Linked DNA regions of Caenorhabditis elegans. The protein of the gene in region 1 interacts with the protein of each later gene in a pairwise test. Each region holds a gene or a part of one and is shown on either strand. Other genes may lie near its edges.

The links. Proteins that work in one complex are often made in the same cells at the same time.
Region 2: the proteins of rpb-8 (region 1) and cdd-2 interact in a two-hybrid assay, tested with the Caenorhabditis elegans proteins (2 studies listed by BioGRID).

What each region holds. Positions count from the first base shown.
Region 1 is NC_003281.10:4,916,743-4,923,725, forward strand, and holds rpb-8 (putative DNA-directed RNA polymerases I, II, and III subunit RPABC3), read right to left. Parts: upstream 1,267-6,983; 5' UTR 1,264-1,266; coding exon 1,157-1,263; intron 1,100-1,156; coding exon 973-1,099; intron 837-972; coding exon 624-836; 3' UTR 501-623; downstream 1-500. Other genes in the region: rars-1 (putative arginine--tRNA ligase, cytoplasmic), read right to left, coding at 3-268, 315-365; ula-1 (NEDD8-activating enzyme E1 regulatory subunit), read right to left, coding at 1,657-1,875, 1,922-2,497, 2,544-2,728, 2,780-2,889, 2,934-3,023, 3,076-3,412, 3,460-3,574; mmab-1 (Corrinoid adenosyltransferase MMAB), read right to left, coding at 3,806-3,938, 3,985-4,207, 4,550-4,801, 4,876-4,912; Histone-lysine N-methyltransferase set-2, read right to left, coding at 6,260-6,415, 6,469-6,633, 6,683-6,793, 6,841-6,983. UniProt on the Caenorhabditis elegans protein: DNA-dependent RNA polymerase catalyzes the transcription of DNA into RNA using the four ribonucleoside triphosphates as substrates.
Region 2 is NC_003282.8:7,545,277-7,552,104, reverse strand, and holds cdd-2 (Cytidine deaminase), read left to right. Parts: upstream 1-4,211; coding exon 4,212-4,356; intron 4,357-4,452; coding exon 4,453-4,634; intron 4,635-4,679; coding exon 4,680-4,853; 3' UTR 4,854-4,987; downstream 4,988-6,828. Other genes in the region: Protein dif-1, read left to right, coding at 1-103, 218-367; oef-1 (C2H2-type domain-containing protein), read right to left, coding at 687-736, 1,078-1,231, 2,394-2,583, 2,635-2,864, 2,908-3,014, 3,059-3,167, 3,220-3,411, 3,455-3,547; pam-1 (Puromycin-sensitive aminopeptidase), read left to right, coding at 1,301-1,346, 1,916-2,060, 4,988-5,092, 5,202-5,840, 5,917-6,151, 6,197-6,828.

The DNA.
Region 1 (6,983 bases):
ACGTTTTGCCGTCTTTTTTGGCCTTCTTCTCGGCTGGAGCAGAGGTAGAAGAAGATGGAGAACTAGTTGATGTTGCTTTCACACCATTTTTCTTGTTCTTGGCTGCCTGTTCGGCAATGCTCTTCTCGAGAATCGACTTCCGGTATTTGAGCTTATCGTTCAATTTCTTGGCATCGCCGAGTTCCGGAATATGTTCCAAAAGTTCGTCAGTAAGCTCTCCCTTTTGCATGGCAGTTATGAGACGATTCAGAAGCGCAGCTTGGTCGGACTGAAATGATAAAAAAAACTTCCACATCTTGTGAATTAAAACTCACCGCTGCTGAGTAGTCAGAGTATCCTTGTTGCAGCTCTTTATTGGCTGACATTTTGTAAACCCTGAAAAGCACACTGCTGGAAATAAATTTGAGAATATCAAAGAAGATATTTAACAGGCTTGCTGCACTGAAAATTACAAAATAGTCAATTACTTTAATTGTAACAATGTAAATTTCATGTAAAAGAAAATTCGGTCTGACAAATCAGAATAAGATCAAATTGAGTGAAGATTGGAAAGAGATAAAAAACAGTAGAACAAATAGAAAACGGATCAACAAATGAAATAATCAATAACTTTCAGTCGCGGATTAGAAGTCAGTCTTCTTCATGAGAAGGTACAGATTCATGTCGACCTCGAAACCATGCAAATTGATAGCCTCGCCCTTCAAACGCATCAGTAGACCGCCAAACGAAGCATAAGCAGCGAGCTTTCCGCCGTCAGTTCCAGTATCATCGTCTTCCAAGCGGTAAACTTTTCCGTACATCACATATTCATACTGTTTGATTCTTGGGTATTCTGCCTGAAAGGGAAACGATTGAGTTACACAATAAGTGAAATGTAGTTTTCAATTTCAGTTATCTAATCAGTTATCCAAGTCAAAACGAGACAGGTAGTGCAAACATATATTTAAAAAATGTAAAAAGATAAAAACTCACTTTTGGATCATATTCTCCTTCATCGGCAAGTCCGTCTTCTCGGAGTGTAGTGGCCAGAACAAGACGAACTTTGTCGTTCTGCTTCAGTGGATAGATCTGCGAGTTGATATCAATGATAAGCTCCATTCTAAAAAATTTTCAATTCTCATAGTCAGTAAAAAAGTTAATGTTAAAATAATCTCACTTGAAAGACTCAGCATCGCAGAAGTATCGAGAAACTCTGTCGAATTTTTTGCCGTCTGGATCCACGCTTTTCACTTTGAACATATCGTCGAAAATAATTCCAGCCATTTTCTAAAATAAAGAAAGTTTTTATCATAAGAAACAGCAATAAGCAGTTGGTAAACAAGAAAAAATTGAGGAAAGAAACTCGAAGAAATGGAAAACCGAAACAAAAAACTTAAAGGTGCAAACATTTACGCGCGCGGGTTTCGCAACGATTCTCTCTTTTTTGCGCGGGCATTCAAATTGGGGTTTCCGGGGATATCTAAAAATGGGAGATGAGCGAATTGCAATGTTCCAATGTCCATGAATATGTTCATGAATATATTCAGTATGTCAATCTTGAATCAAAGTTTTATTTTGTAAATTTTAAATCTTTGCTGATAATAAGGCTCATTTACAAATGTCATGCCACAAGGAACAGTTTCAAAACCAAATTCGCGAAATAACCAATAAATTAAACTAAAATTTGAATGTTGCCGACTCCTGAGTATGTCCATCAAAAATGAATGTGTTATCAATGGGAACATATTGATTGGTAGCCAATTTGATAATCTCTTGAGCAGCTATTCCACCGACGTACGATGAAATGACATGTAACTCCGCAGCACCAAAACGACAAATTTCAGCGATAGCAGTGTCTGTCACTTTATTTGAGATTGATGTGAAGTCCTGTTCATCCTAAAATTTGTTAATAGTTTTAATTTCACTAACGAATGTAATAAACCTTCAAAGCTTCTCGAATCAAAACTTCAACTCTCTTCTTCAAATCTTGAGCATCAATTGAAACTGGAACTCCATTAGTTCCTGGGTAACGTCCTTTTTCTTTTTGGAACCTTCCAACTGCCCTCATCAGTAGCATCCACGTGGCTTCATCAACTTTCTGATTTCTAGTCTCTTCATCAATATTGCTTTCACGAATTTTCTCAACAATTGCTTTGGTTTCTTCGTTGTAGTCAAGCACATCGCCATACTGAACTCGAATCCGATCAGCGTTCTTACAGAAACGATAGCAAACGTCATCCGATATGACGTCACCAACACCTCGTTCCTTCTCTACTTCACGTGTCAAACGAAGCACTTCCTGAGCATCTGAAAGAGCTTTTTCGTGGAAAAGAGTTGCGAGGCGAGTGTATCGAGAAGAATCAGAAGTCATATCAGGAAGAGTTCCACGAAGAGGCAGAAGATTATTATTCTCGGTGACAAAACGACGAAGAGCTTCACAGATTAACCAGAATGGGCGTGTCGATGTTGAACATTGTGGAGAAGAGAGAATCGATTTTACAGAAGAACCAATCTGAAACTTACTAGAAATGAGAATCAATTTGGATAATTTATCAAAAACTTACCGTAGTTCTTTGAAAAGCTCGAATAACCGCCGCTTTCGCCTCATCAAAATTCTCAGAATCCTTGGTTCCGGATTCTTCACTCGAACGTCGGAAACTCATAAGAATCGCCTGAAGTTCTTTACGTTCCGCAGTTGTAGATGGGAACGCTTCAGGATCATTTCGTTGCTTTCTGAATACTTCGAGAGCTGAAATTAAGAAGGTAAATAACAGAATACAACCATAATTGCGAGAAAAACCTTTGAAGTGAAGAAGAATATACGGAGTATGGCGGAGTTGTTCTAGAGTCATTTCATCTAGATTTGTTTCATTGATCATTTCAATAAGCTTTGAAAATGGAGCATCCAATCTGAGAAATAAAAACTTTTTTGGAAGTTTTCATGTATATTTTACCGTAAATCAGGTCTCGGATTCTCTTCGTGTGAGTTAGCAATTGTGTGTTCTTTGATGCAGATTCGAATGGTACCAATTAGTCCAAAAGTTCTGAATTTTGGAATTTTAACTGCAAGAACTTCAAATTTTGAAAATATCGTACTTGATACAGATGAATGGAACTCTAATATTATACAAAACTTTCGCGAACGTCGTATCAATTTCTTCATTTTGATTTGCAGCAACAACCACAGAAAACGTTGTCAGCTTTTCCACATCTTCCATAGCTAACGCTGTTGGTGGCTGACTACTTGCACTACCAGAGACTGATGGATTCAGTTCGGTAAGCTTCTCCAATGTTGCCTCGGCACGAGAACGTCCAATATCATCTGCATGGAGGAAGAAATTCTGACCGATGTCAGCTTGTTCAACTTTGGCGTCATCAACGACATAGAATGATTGAACACCGGCGAGAACCAACGATTTCAATATTTCTGTTGCTAAAAATATTTAGATTGGATTTTTAATTCAATTTTTTCAAAAATACCTAGCGAATCGCTTCCAAGAACACATGCACTTGTTGAACCAATTGATGCTTGTCCTTCTTCTCCCCAAAGTCGAACTTGACGATCGTATCTAGTGGATGGGTCAAATGGTAGCATTTTCTAAAATTATACAAGTTGGAAATCTGAAAATTTCGTTTTGGTTTCTAAACAAAAATATACATTATGAAGAGTTCACAATCAATTAATATAAAAAATTATAAAGAATCTCAAAAAAGAAAAATATATATAGACAAATCTGATATTTATGGCAAGATTATTCAATAAAAATTTTACACGAAGTGTATGGCGAGTTTCACAAGAATGATAACTACATATTTATAAAAAAAATTATTTTTTCTCGTGAAGAGATTTACGATCCCATTTCAAATTGGTGAACGAATCGGGGCGAAGATATGTCAGCTCTTCGTTCTTGTTTCTCATGCAGGCAGTACGACCGAGAACAAATAGAAGATCGCTCATTCTGAAATTGATATTTCTTACTAACGATGAATCGATAACCATAGTACCTATTCAAGAACTTTAATGCCATTGGATCGACGTCTTCGTCTCTCATAAGTGGAACAATACTCCGTTCAGCTCGACGACAAATTGCGCGGGAATACTGTAATTGAGCAGACGTCATTCCACCGCCAGAAAGAATAAATTGTCGGATTGCAGGCAACGCGTCTCCGTATCGATCGATTTCTGCATTTATCCATTCAACCATTGCAATATCGAATGCAGTTTTCTCTGAAAGAATAGAATACGGCTCAATAGTGATTTTTAAAAATTATTTTTTAGAAAAATATAAAGCCAGAGACCTTCATATGAAAATCTCCGATCTTTCCTCTATATGTGATTTTTATTTTATTTTAATTCAATAGAATTAACTTTTTTTTTGATAAACCAAACTTGAAAAAATTTGTTTGGTTTCCGAAAAAATTTCAGTTTTTTGACTTTCTCTGAAAATACCAAGTCACTTCGACTACTTTCTTGATTCGAAAGAATTTTCCGGGATTTAAAATAAAGATACAAAATTGAAAATCGGTAACGGAAACTTTAGATTTTTCACTCTTTAGAAAAAAAACACACTTTGTTTTCTCTCCGAAGAATTTTTTGGTGGAGTAGCAAGATGAGCTCCAACATCCTGTAGACAACATTGAAGGCGTGTTAATGTCTCCACTACATCGCTCATTGAACCATCGTTTTGAGCAGATGCTCCACAGACACCAAGAAATGAAGACAATTCATCGGTTGCTCCGAGAGCATTGAAAGTGTCGTCATCTTTCCAGCGACGCTCATTGTTGTACAGAGAAGATTGCCCAGAATCACCAGTTCCACGGCCTGAAAATTTAATTTTAACGTAGTAAAATCGGTTGCTCTTTCAGTTGAAATAATCGATGGTTTTAGACGTTTACCTTGTTTAAATCCTCTTCCCAAATCAGAAGAGCTCATCGAAATGTAGAGTTGACTGTTACGGGACAATGAGGAAAAAATGAGAAGTTTGTTCGTCGATTGTGATGCCAACCGTACGCAACTCCGAATCATCTAAATGCAAACATAGGTTTATCAGTTGAAAGTGGCCACTACGTGGTGACAAGGAAATTGCTAATGGTAAATTTTTCTTAAATTTTCGAGCTTATTCTATAGATTATTTGGTATGAGAGATGATGCATAATATTACCCTGGTATTATTGAAACAAAAAACATGACAAAACGAATCATGAATTATTGAAAAGATCCGGTATCATATTTTTTGAACCGAAAATGGTCATGTTTCGAACCTAGGTAACTTTTAAAAAAATGTATATACATAGGTATTTTTTTAAATAAATAGTAAACTGGAAAACCTGTTTAATTTTCACTATGAGACCCGAAGAACTCGGGGGATGTCCAACTGGGGGGATTACCAACTCGGGGGATTGGCCCCGCCCACAGAACCGTGGCTTGCAATACGCCCATTTCTGCAACTGCCGCACGGTTTTAAAATCATTTTTTCTTGTTAATCCTCGCTCTATTGATAAAAATACAATTTTAAAATCGTGCGGCAGTTGCAGAAATGGGCGTATTGCAAGCCACGGTTCTGTGGGCGGGGCCAATCCCCCGAGTTGGTAATCCCCCCAGTTGGACATCCCCCGAGTTCTTCGGGTCTCTTCACTATCGCTGATAAATACCAGAAATATGAATCGAACTGAAATGAACAAAATTTTTTAAAATACGAAAACCATGACTTTTAAAATTATTTCATTTAAAGAACATAATAAAACACTTTTTAAAACATAAAACTATTCAGACTAGCTGAAATTAACTTTAAACACGAATGAATAAAGACTTGAATGGGAGGTTGTTTTGGAAAGACCAATTGTTCAGAGTTCAAGGGAAAATGAATGATTTCAGAGATGTTCAAGTATAGAGAGATAAACAAGAGACTGTAGAGGAAATCCTCCAAGAAAACAATTCGTAAACCTATAGAGAAACAAGAGATTTGATAAAATGTAGAAGTATCTAGTTGAAAAGGGGAGCTTGTATCGTATAACATACACTCAAACAATTGTTCAACAATAACGAATTCCACTAATAATACAAGGATTTCTCAGCTCACCATAAGGAGAATGAATAACAATGATACAGTTTTCAATATTTAAAAAAAAAGTAGGAACCGGCCTATTCTTATCAGATAGCAATTTCCAACTTCGAACCAGCGAATTGGGAATTGGATAGGAAAATTTAAATAAATAAAAAATATTAAAAAACTAGAAGAGATCGAATGGAATATAAATTTTAAAAACTAGACGAATCATATCAATTAAGATATCCACGACACGTCTTCGCACCACACAGACAATCTATTTTGTCGTCTTCAATTGGGAACTTGTAGTCATACGTGATTTCTTCACCCTTCTTGATAATTGTTCGGCTGTAGATGACTATCCGCTTCTCGCCTTCGATTGTAAGAACCTAAAAATTTTAAATTATTTTTTTAAAATCAGATTATCAAATTAACTACGTACCTTCGCGTAGCAATTAGGTTGGCACGAGTGATTAATAAATCGAGCAAAATTTCCACGCTTTGTTGCATCGATCACATGATGCAGATCAATTCGGAACAGATATGAACTTCCGATTCCACGACGTTCATAAGCCTTTTCTCGTTCTTCGGCCACCAGAGATCGGATCTGAAAAAAAATCAATACTTCGGAATTTAATTTCACAAAAAAAACTGACCGTCTGTCCTATATACTCCACAATCATCTCATCTGGTGCAATCGACTCCATCGCGTAGAGACCCCATCCGTGAATACGAGAACGTGCAAACTTGATCATCTTTTTGCGGAACTGTAAATTTATGTTTTATGGCAAACATCTTTTTTTTGGAAAACTACTTTGAGCTGATTTATCTTGAAGAAATCATTGTTAGCATCACCAAGTGACGTAAGCAATCGACGTTGGAGCAATCTCATATCTTTACTGGCCAGATGCTGATGCCGAATCGCGGTTTCATCTCTTTCACTGAAGATTGCAGTCG
Region 2 (6,828 bases), on another chromosome or scaffold:
CAAATCTCGATTACAAACAGCCCCTGAAGGAAAGTATCCAGATGGAATCCGTGGAGTTTTGAGAGAGGTTCTTCGCGAAGAGGGTCCTAGAGCTCTGTTCAAGGTGATTTTTTTTAAACGATTGGGACGATGCAAGTGAATTTTTCGTCATTTCTCGACACATTTACATACATATATACTTTACCTGATTTCTAGCTACAATTTGTATAAATTTCAGGGATTCTGGCCAGTAATGCTCCGTGCTTTCCCTGCAAACGCTGCCTGTTTCTTCGGACTTGAACTCACGTTGGCTGCCTTCCGTTACTTTGGCATTGGTGGACACCCAACACCATCTACAGAAGTTGTTCCACTCCCACACGACGAGTAAATTTTTGAAAATTCTCATTTTTCTAATTAGTTTATACCATATTTATTTGATATTTTTTTCATTATTCAAAAACATTTACCCGAGTTGCCTTCTATTTCCATGTTTTGGGCATTTGTATGTTGTGTATATTTCTACATGAAAATCGTAAATTTTTTGATGAACTTCAAGAAGTGCTCAATGTTGAATTATATTTACCGTGTTCAGCTGTCGCTATACAATTTTTTTTGAGAAACAGGTTCATTAAATGCAGAACAATTATCGAAACAAAAGAGTACAACGGGTATGGTGAAAAAAAAACAGGGGAACATTTAAGATAAGACTATTCTAGATCGATGACGCTCTGAAGACTGCCAGGTTCACTTTCTGAAACTATTTTCACAATTTTAAACGATTGGGATAGTGATGATTGGAGTTAAATTGAATTTCATTAATTGAAAAACCTACACTAAATAAGAGTATTCTGGAAATGAGTAGTTTTAATTTAGAAATTCTTTTTTAGAAAACCTAACCTTTCTGGAAGAAATTGTATTGAAAAAAAGTTTTAAAAACACCGAAAATTATAATCATCAATAAAAATTTCTTTTCAAACGTTTACTATATTTACTACTCCTACAAAAATTTGGAAAAAAACAAAATAATGCTGAGAGCGATAATATTTCAAAACCATCCAAAAGAAAGCTGAAAATTCTAATCTAAATAATGACATTTACCTTTATTTCCTGTATCTATAGACTCGCTTCGAGCACCTTCTTCAGAATCAGTTTCATCCTGATTATCAAAAATATCATAGTCTGAATCCATCGAGCGTGTAGGTTTTCCGCGTTCAGAATTATCCAGACGACTTTGCTTGCTTTCTTTTCCATTCTAAAAATAACATTGATTTTACAAAATTATATACTAAAAATCTGTAATTCTGTCGTTCCAGATTTCAGAATGCTGGGAAGATTAGCAGTTCGACAGGCTGTCCGTTGCAGTAAAGGTAATTAATTTCCCGTTTTCTAGGAAATTTTGTAATTTTACATAGCTTAGAAGTAATTGCAAAAAAAAGCAGATTTTGCAGATTTTGGTCATGTGAGTTGATAAGACTGACAGCTGATAAATTCAGTACTCTGAATTCGTGGAAACAATAATATTAAATGATAAGTGTCACTTGATCAACTGTGCACAACTATACTACTGAATATTGTGAAATCTGGTCATCTAGATATCAGCAATAGCATGGTCAGAATAATAACATCCTAGCCGTTAAGATCAGCACAGGAGCCAAAAATACGGTACCCGGTCTCGACACGACAAATTTTTCTTAAATACAAGGTCTGCCCCTTTAAAGATTACTGTAGTTTCAAAATCTCGATTCTGTAACATTTTCATCCTGTTTTAAACCTATTTTTTGAACAAACACATCAATTTTATTGGAAAACAATGAGAAAAACGAGAGATTGAAGTTACAGTACTCCTAAAATGAAATTTTTCGTGTCGAAACTCGGTACCGTATTTTTGACTCAAAAATCGCTGTTTCGCCTGTTGTTCATTCTAACATTTTTACAGCATCCATCAAGCCCGTCAACACTCATCAGCTTTGCCTGCGCAATTTTTCGGCCATCCGACGTCTTTCATTTGTCGCCGGCGCCCAGTGCCGTCCCTACCACACAACAGCAAACATGCTCCATCGCACGGCAAGAGGCGAACACGGGTCAGTTCTGCGTCCCGGTGTGTGTATGTGTTTTTGATGACAATAGTGTCTCGAAGTGCCAACCTCTAACTATCCTTTTTCGTTATCGAAAATGGAAGGGTGGGTTCTAACGTCATTCACCCTATTTGTCTATACGTCTGTTATGTTTATCATTTTCACACCAATCTAAAGCAATTTCCACGAAAAATCTAATGATCTTACATTGTGTCATTCTGAAACATTTCATTCTACTGATAGGCTTCACGACTTCTTCCAGTTTCTATTAATTTTTTCTCCAAAAGCTTATTTCTATGTTTTTGAAATATTTACAAAAACCTTTTTTCAACAACTCACATCTGTTTTGCTTTTATCAGCCACAGTGCTGATATGGATAATTTCACCTCCTCGAACAATTCTGTACGAGGCCTTTTCGGAGAGATACCAGGTGTTTCCGTTTCGAATTCTACGGCTTCTGGGAACTGGAAGATGACGCAAGAAGCATTTTTCCATAACTGAATTGAAAGTTGACACTTGCTCATTGGACCTAAATTTGAATCGAATTTTTAAAAGCATTTCTTCAATGTGATTTTCCTACCATAAGTCACGAAATTCAATTTCCACGTGGGTTTTATCGTGGTGTTCAGAAATATGTTCACATGGTGATTTCGACACAGGAAGAGTTCTCAAACAGTGGACACACTCATAGCGTTTTGCTATGTCTACATTGAGAAATTCCGATTCTGGGTGGGCGTCTAGAACATGTTCAGTCTGTTTCCTAATTTTTGTATTTCGGTTTCTACCGGTTTCCACTTCATGCTTGCACAGCTGAAAATTGTAGTTGAATCTGACGCAATTGTCGGGGTCTCACCGAACAATATGCCATATCAAGTTGATCTTCCTTTCCGTTTTCAACGATTATCGAGTCATTTGGTGTTTCAGCATCCATTGAGTTTACCATAAACAATTGCGGAATATCTGTTATCAGCGAAATATTAAAAATTAAATGAACGAACTCTTACTGTTTACAATGTTCTCTGATTCGTGATCATCCAAAACTGCATCTTCCTCGATGTTAGTTGGCTCGAGCAAAAGTTTCAACGCATCCGAGTTTTCGGCGAAAGTTCCGCGCTGAAATACTTTTTATTATTTTCGAACAATATTCGAGTTATTCAATCCTTACCGCCCATTTCTCTAATATTTCTTGGTTTGAAGACATCTGAATGGCGGGTTGGTTTGCTTCCGAAAACGGATCAACCGATTTCTGTTCCTCGGCTGTTTCTCGAAAATTAAAAGTTCCACTGTCCAATTTATCCAAATATTCTTTCATTTCTTCCGGAGTTGACGAGAAAATGTGATTCAAGTGATTGTTCGTCTAAAAATATGAATTAGGAAGAATAATTAAAGAAAAAACTCACCAAATAGCGACGAAGCTTTCGTGCAGCATTAATTTGTTCGATGTTATCATCGATACTCACAAGTACAAACCGTTTTCGCAATGATTTCGGCATTGTTATAAAAAGAGAGACAAGTTTGAATTGAGTTCGAATTCGTTCGCGAACGAACGTTCGTGGTCGACAAACTACGGTACGCTGGAGTACGCAATGAGATACGCAAACACGCTCGCGCATTTTTTTGACTTTTGTAATGCGCGCGCGCGCCACGGCCCGGCAAGTGGTACATCTATGCAAATGCGCTCTACTGATAATTTGAGTGTAGACCAGGTTTGGGCGCGTGATAATGAAAAAAGCTTTGGTCCAAAAAATTTAGAATTTAATTTCGGACATTATTTATATGCATCACAAAAAAACTGGACCAACCGTTTTTGAGATACACGCGCCCAAACGTCCAGGTATACGGTAGACAAATTGCGTACAGGTACCACTTCTCGGGCCGCGCGCGCGCAAAAATGTCCCGTGGATTTTTCATTTCACCAATTCTCGAAGTTGAGGCTGAAAAATAGTTGCAAAGTTCCCATTTTGTCATGTTTTTTTTAAATATAACGCGACCCGTTCACTGAATATGGGATTTAACGTCACTTTGCATGCGTTCCACAACGCAAATTCTTTTGTGTATTGCTAACTTTTCTCATCAATGTTGTTCTCTGTTCTTCTAATAATTTAATTCGCCTCATTCGCTTCTCATTTCATGCACTTTTGTCATAGTTAACTACAGATGGCCGCGAATAGTCTTCCTCAAGATATTTCCGATGTGGAACTAGTTCATTTGGCCCGAGCTGCGATGAAACGGGCACATTGCCCATACAGCAAGTTTCCAGTTGGTGCAGCGCTTCTCACTGAATCTGGGGAAATTGTCCAGGGTAATTTGTGATTTCTTGTCGTTGCATAACTCGAGATGTCTGCGGGCTTCTCAGTTTCGCAACATGCATTTTTGAAGTTTCTAGCATTTTCTGTAGGCTGCAATGTCGAGAATGCTTCATACGGTGGCACTATCTGCGCTGAGCGTAGTGCTATTGTTTCTGCTGTGTCACAAGGATACACGAAATTCCGTGCCATTGCTGTCGTCACTGAGCTCAGCGAACCTGCGTCTCCCTGTGGACTTTGCCGTCAATTTCTAGTTGAATTCGGTGACTATAAAGTAAGAAAACTAGAGCTTCTTAATTTTTCACTGTCATCGTTGCAGGTTGTTGTGGGAACTGCATCTAACAATAAAATTCTCATCACCTCAACTCGCGCTCTTCTTCCATTTGCTTTCACTCCTGAATCGCTCGACACTTTTGAGCAAGAAAAAGCATCAGAAGCTAAAGGATTAAAGCAAGATGATGCCACGGAGCATAACGTTACAGTCGTCTCTTAATTTTTTATTCCAATCAGAAACTCCTTTCCACATTTCCCGCCATTCCTAGTAGTGTTTTTTTTCATTTGTGATATCCTTCTCTTTCTTTCAATTTAGTTGTGTCAAAAATTCATTTTATTAATAAAACTTTTCAGAATGGCGGCCTGTGGAAACCCAAGCGCGGCGGTCAAATTTGAGAGGCTTCCAACATTCGCCGAACCAACTCATTACAACGTCCGTTTATCGCCATGCCTCAACCAGTAAGTTCTGTAATAATATTTCAGTTTAGCTAGGACGGCAGTAATAAATGTTGATATGTAGTTTAAATTTGCAACAAAACCACTTCAAGTTCTAATTCTTGTTTTTCAGATTCTCTTTCGATGGTCATGCAACGATTGACGTCACAATCAAAGAAGCTACTGATGTCTTGAAGGTGCATGCACAGAGTTTGCTGATTCAGTCGGTATCGCTTATCACTCAGCCAGGAGACGCTTCTAAATCTCTCGAAACTAGCTACGACGATAAGCTCAATATTTTGACTATCAAGCTTCCGACTACCATGCAGCCACAGAAGGTTCAGCTCGACTTCAAGTTTGTCGGTGAACTGAACGATAAGATGCGAGGATTTTATCGCAGTCAGTACAAGGATAAGAACGGCACCGAAAAGTTCTTGGCTTCAACTCAGTTTGAGTCGACTTATGCTCGCTATGCATTCCCATGTTTCGATGAGCCAATTTACAAGGCAACTTTCGACGTTACTTTGGAAGTAGAAAATCATCTGACCGCTCTCTCCAATATGAATGTAATCTCCGAAACACCGACTGCTGATGGAAAGAGAAAGGCAGTTACATTTGCAACTTCACCAAAGATGTCATCGTATCTCGTCGCTTTCGCCGTTGGTGAGCTGGAATATATCAGTGCACAAACGAAAAGCGGAGTTGAGATGCGTGTGTATACTGTACCTGGAAAGAAAGAACAAGGTCAATACAGTTTGGATCTTTCTGTGAAGTGAGTTATCTTAAAGAATAATTTTAGCTGAATTTTCAGTAATAATTCAAATGAAGTTTCAATTTCTAATTTTCAGGTGCATTGACTGGTACAATGAGTGGTTCGACATCAAATACCCTCTTCCAAAATGTGACCTGATTGCTATTCCGGACTTCTCAATGGGTGCGATGGAGAACTGGGGACTTGTCACGTATCGTGAAATCGCTCTTCTTGTTGATCCAGGAGTCACGTCCACCAGACAAAAGTCTAGAGTTGCTTTAGTCGTTGCTCACGAGTTGGCTCATTTATGGTTCGGAAATCTTGTGACTATGGTAGGGAATTTTCAACTAATAAACATATATATTCATTCTTTTCAGAAATGGTGGACTGATCTTTGGCTTAAAGAAGGATTTGCATCATTCATGGAATACATGTTCGTTGGCGCTAACTGTCCAGAGTTCAAGATCTGGCTTCATTTCCTGAATGATGAACTCGCGTCTGGAATGGGACTTGATGCACTTCGAAACTCTCATCCAATCGAAGTTGAAATTGATAATCCGAATGAGCTTGATGAGATTTACGATTCGATCACTTACGCCAAATCCAATTCAGTCAACCGCATGCTCTGCTATTATCTATCGGAGCCAGTTTTTCAAAAAGGACTTCGCCTCTATTTGAAGAGATTCCAATATTCGAATGCAGTTACTCAAGATTTGTGGACCGCACTGAGCGAGGCTTCAGGACAAAACGTGAATGAATTGATGTCCGGTTGGACCCAACAAATGGGATTCCCTGTGCTGAAGGTCTCCCAGAGACAAGATGGTAACAATCGCATTTTGACCGTGGAGCAACGTCGATTCATTTCCGATGGAGGTGAAGACCCGAAAAATAGCCAGTGGCAAGTGCCAATTACAGTTGCTGTCGGAAGTTCTCCAAGTGATGTGAAAGCCAGATTTTTGCTAAAGGAGAAGCAGCAAGAATTCACGATTGAAGGTGTCGCTCCAGGAGA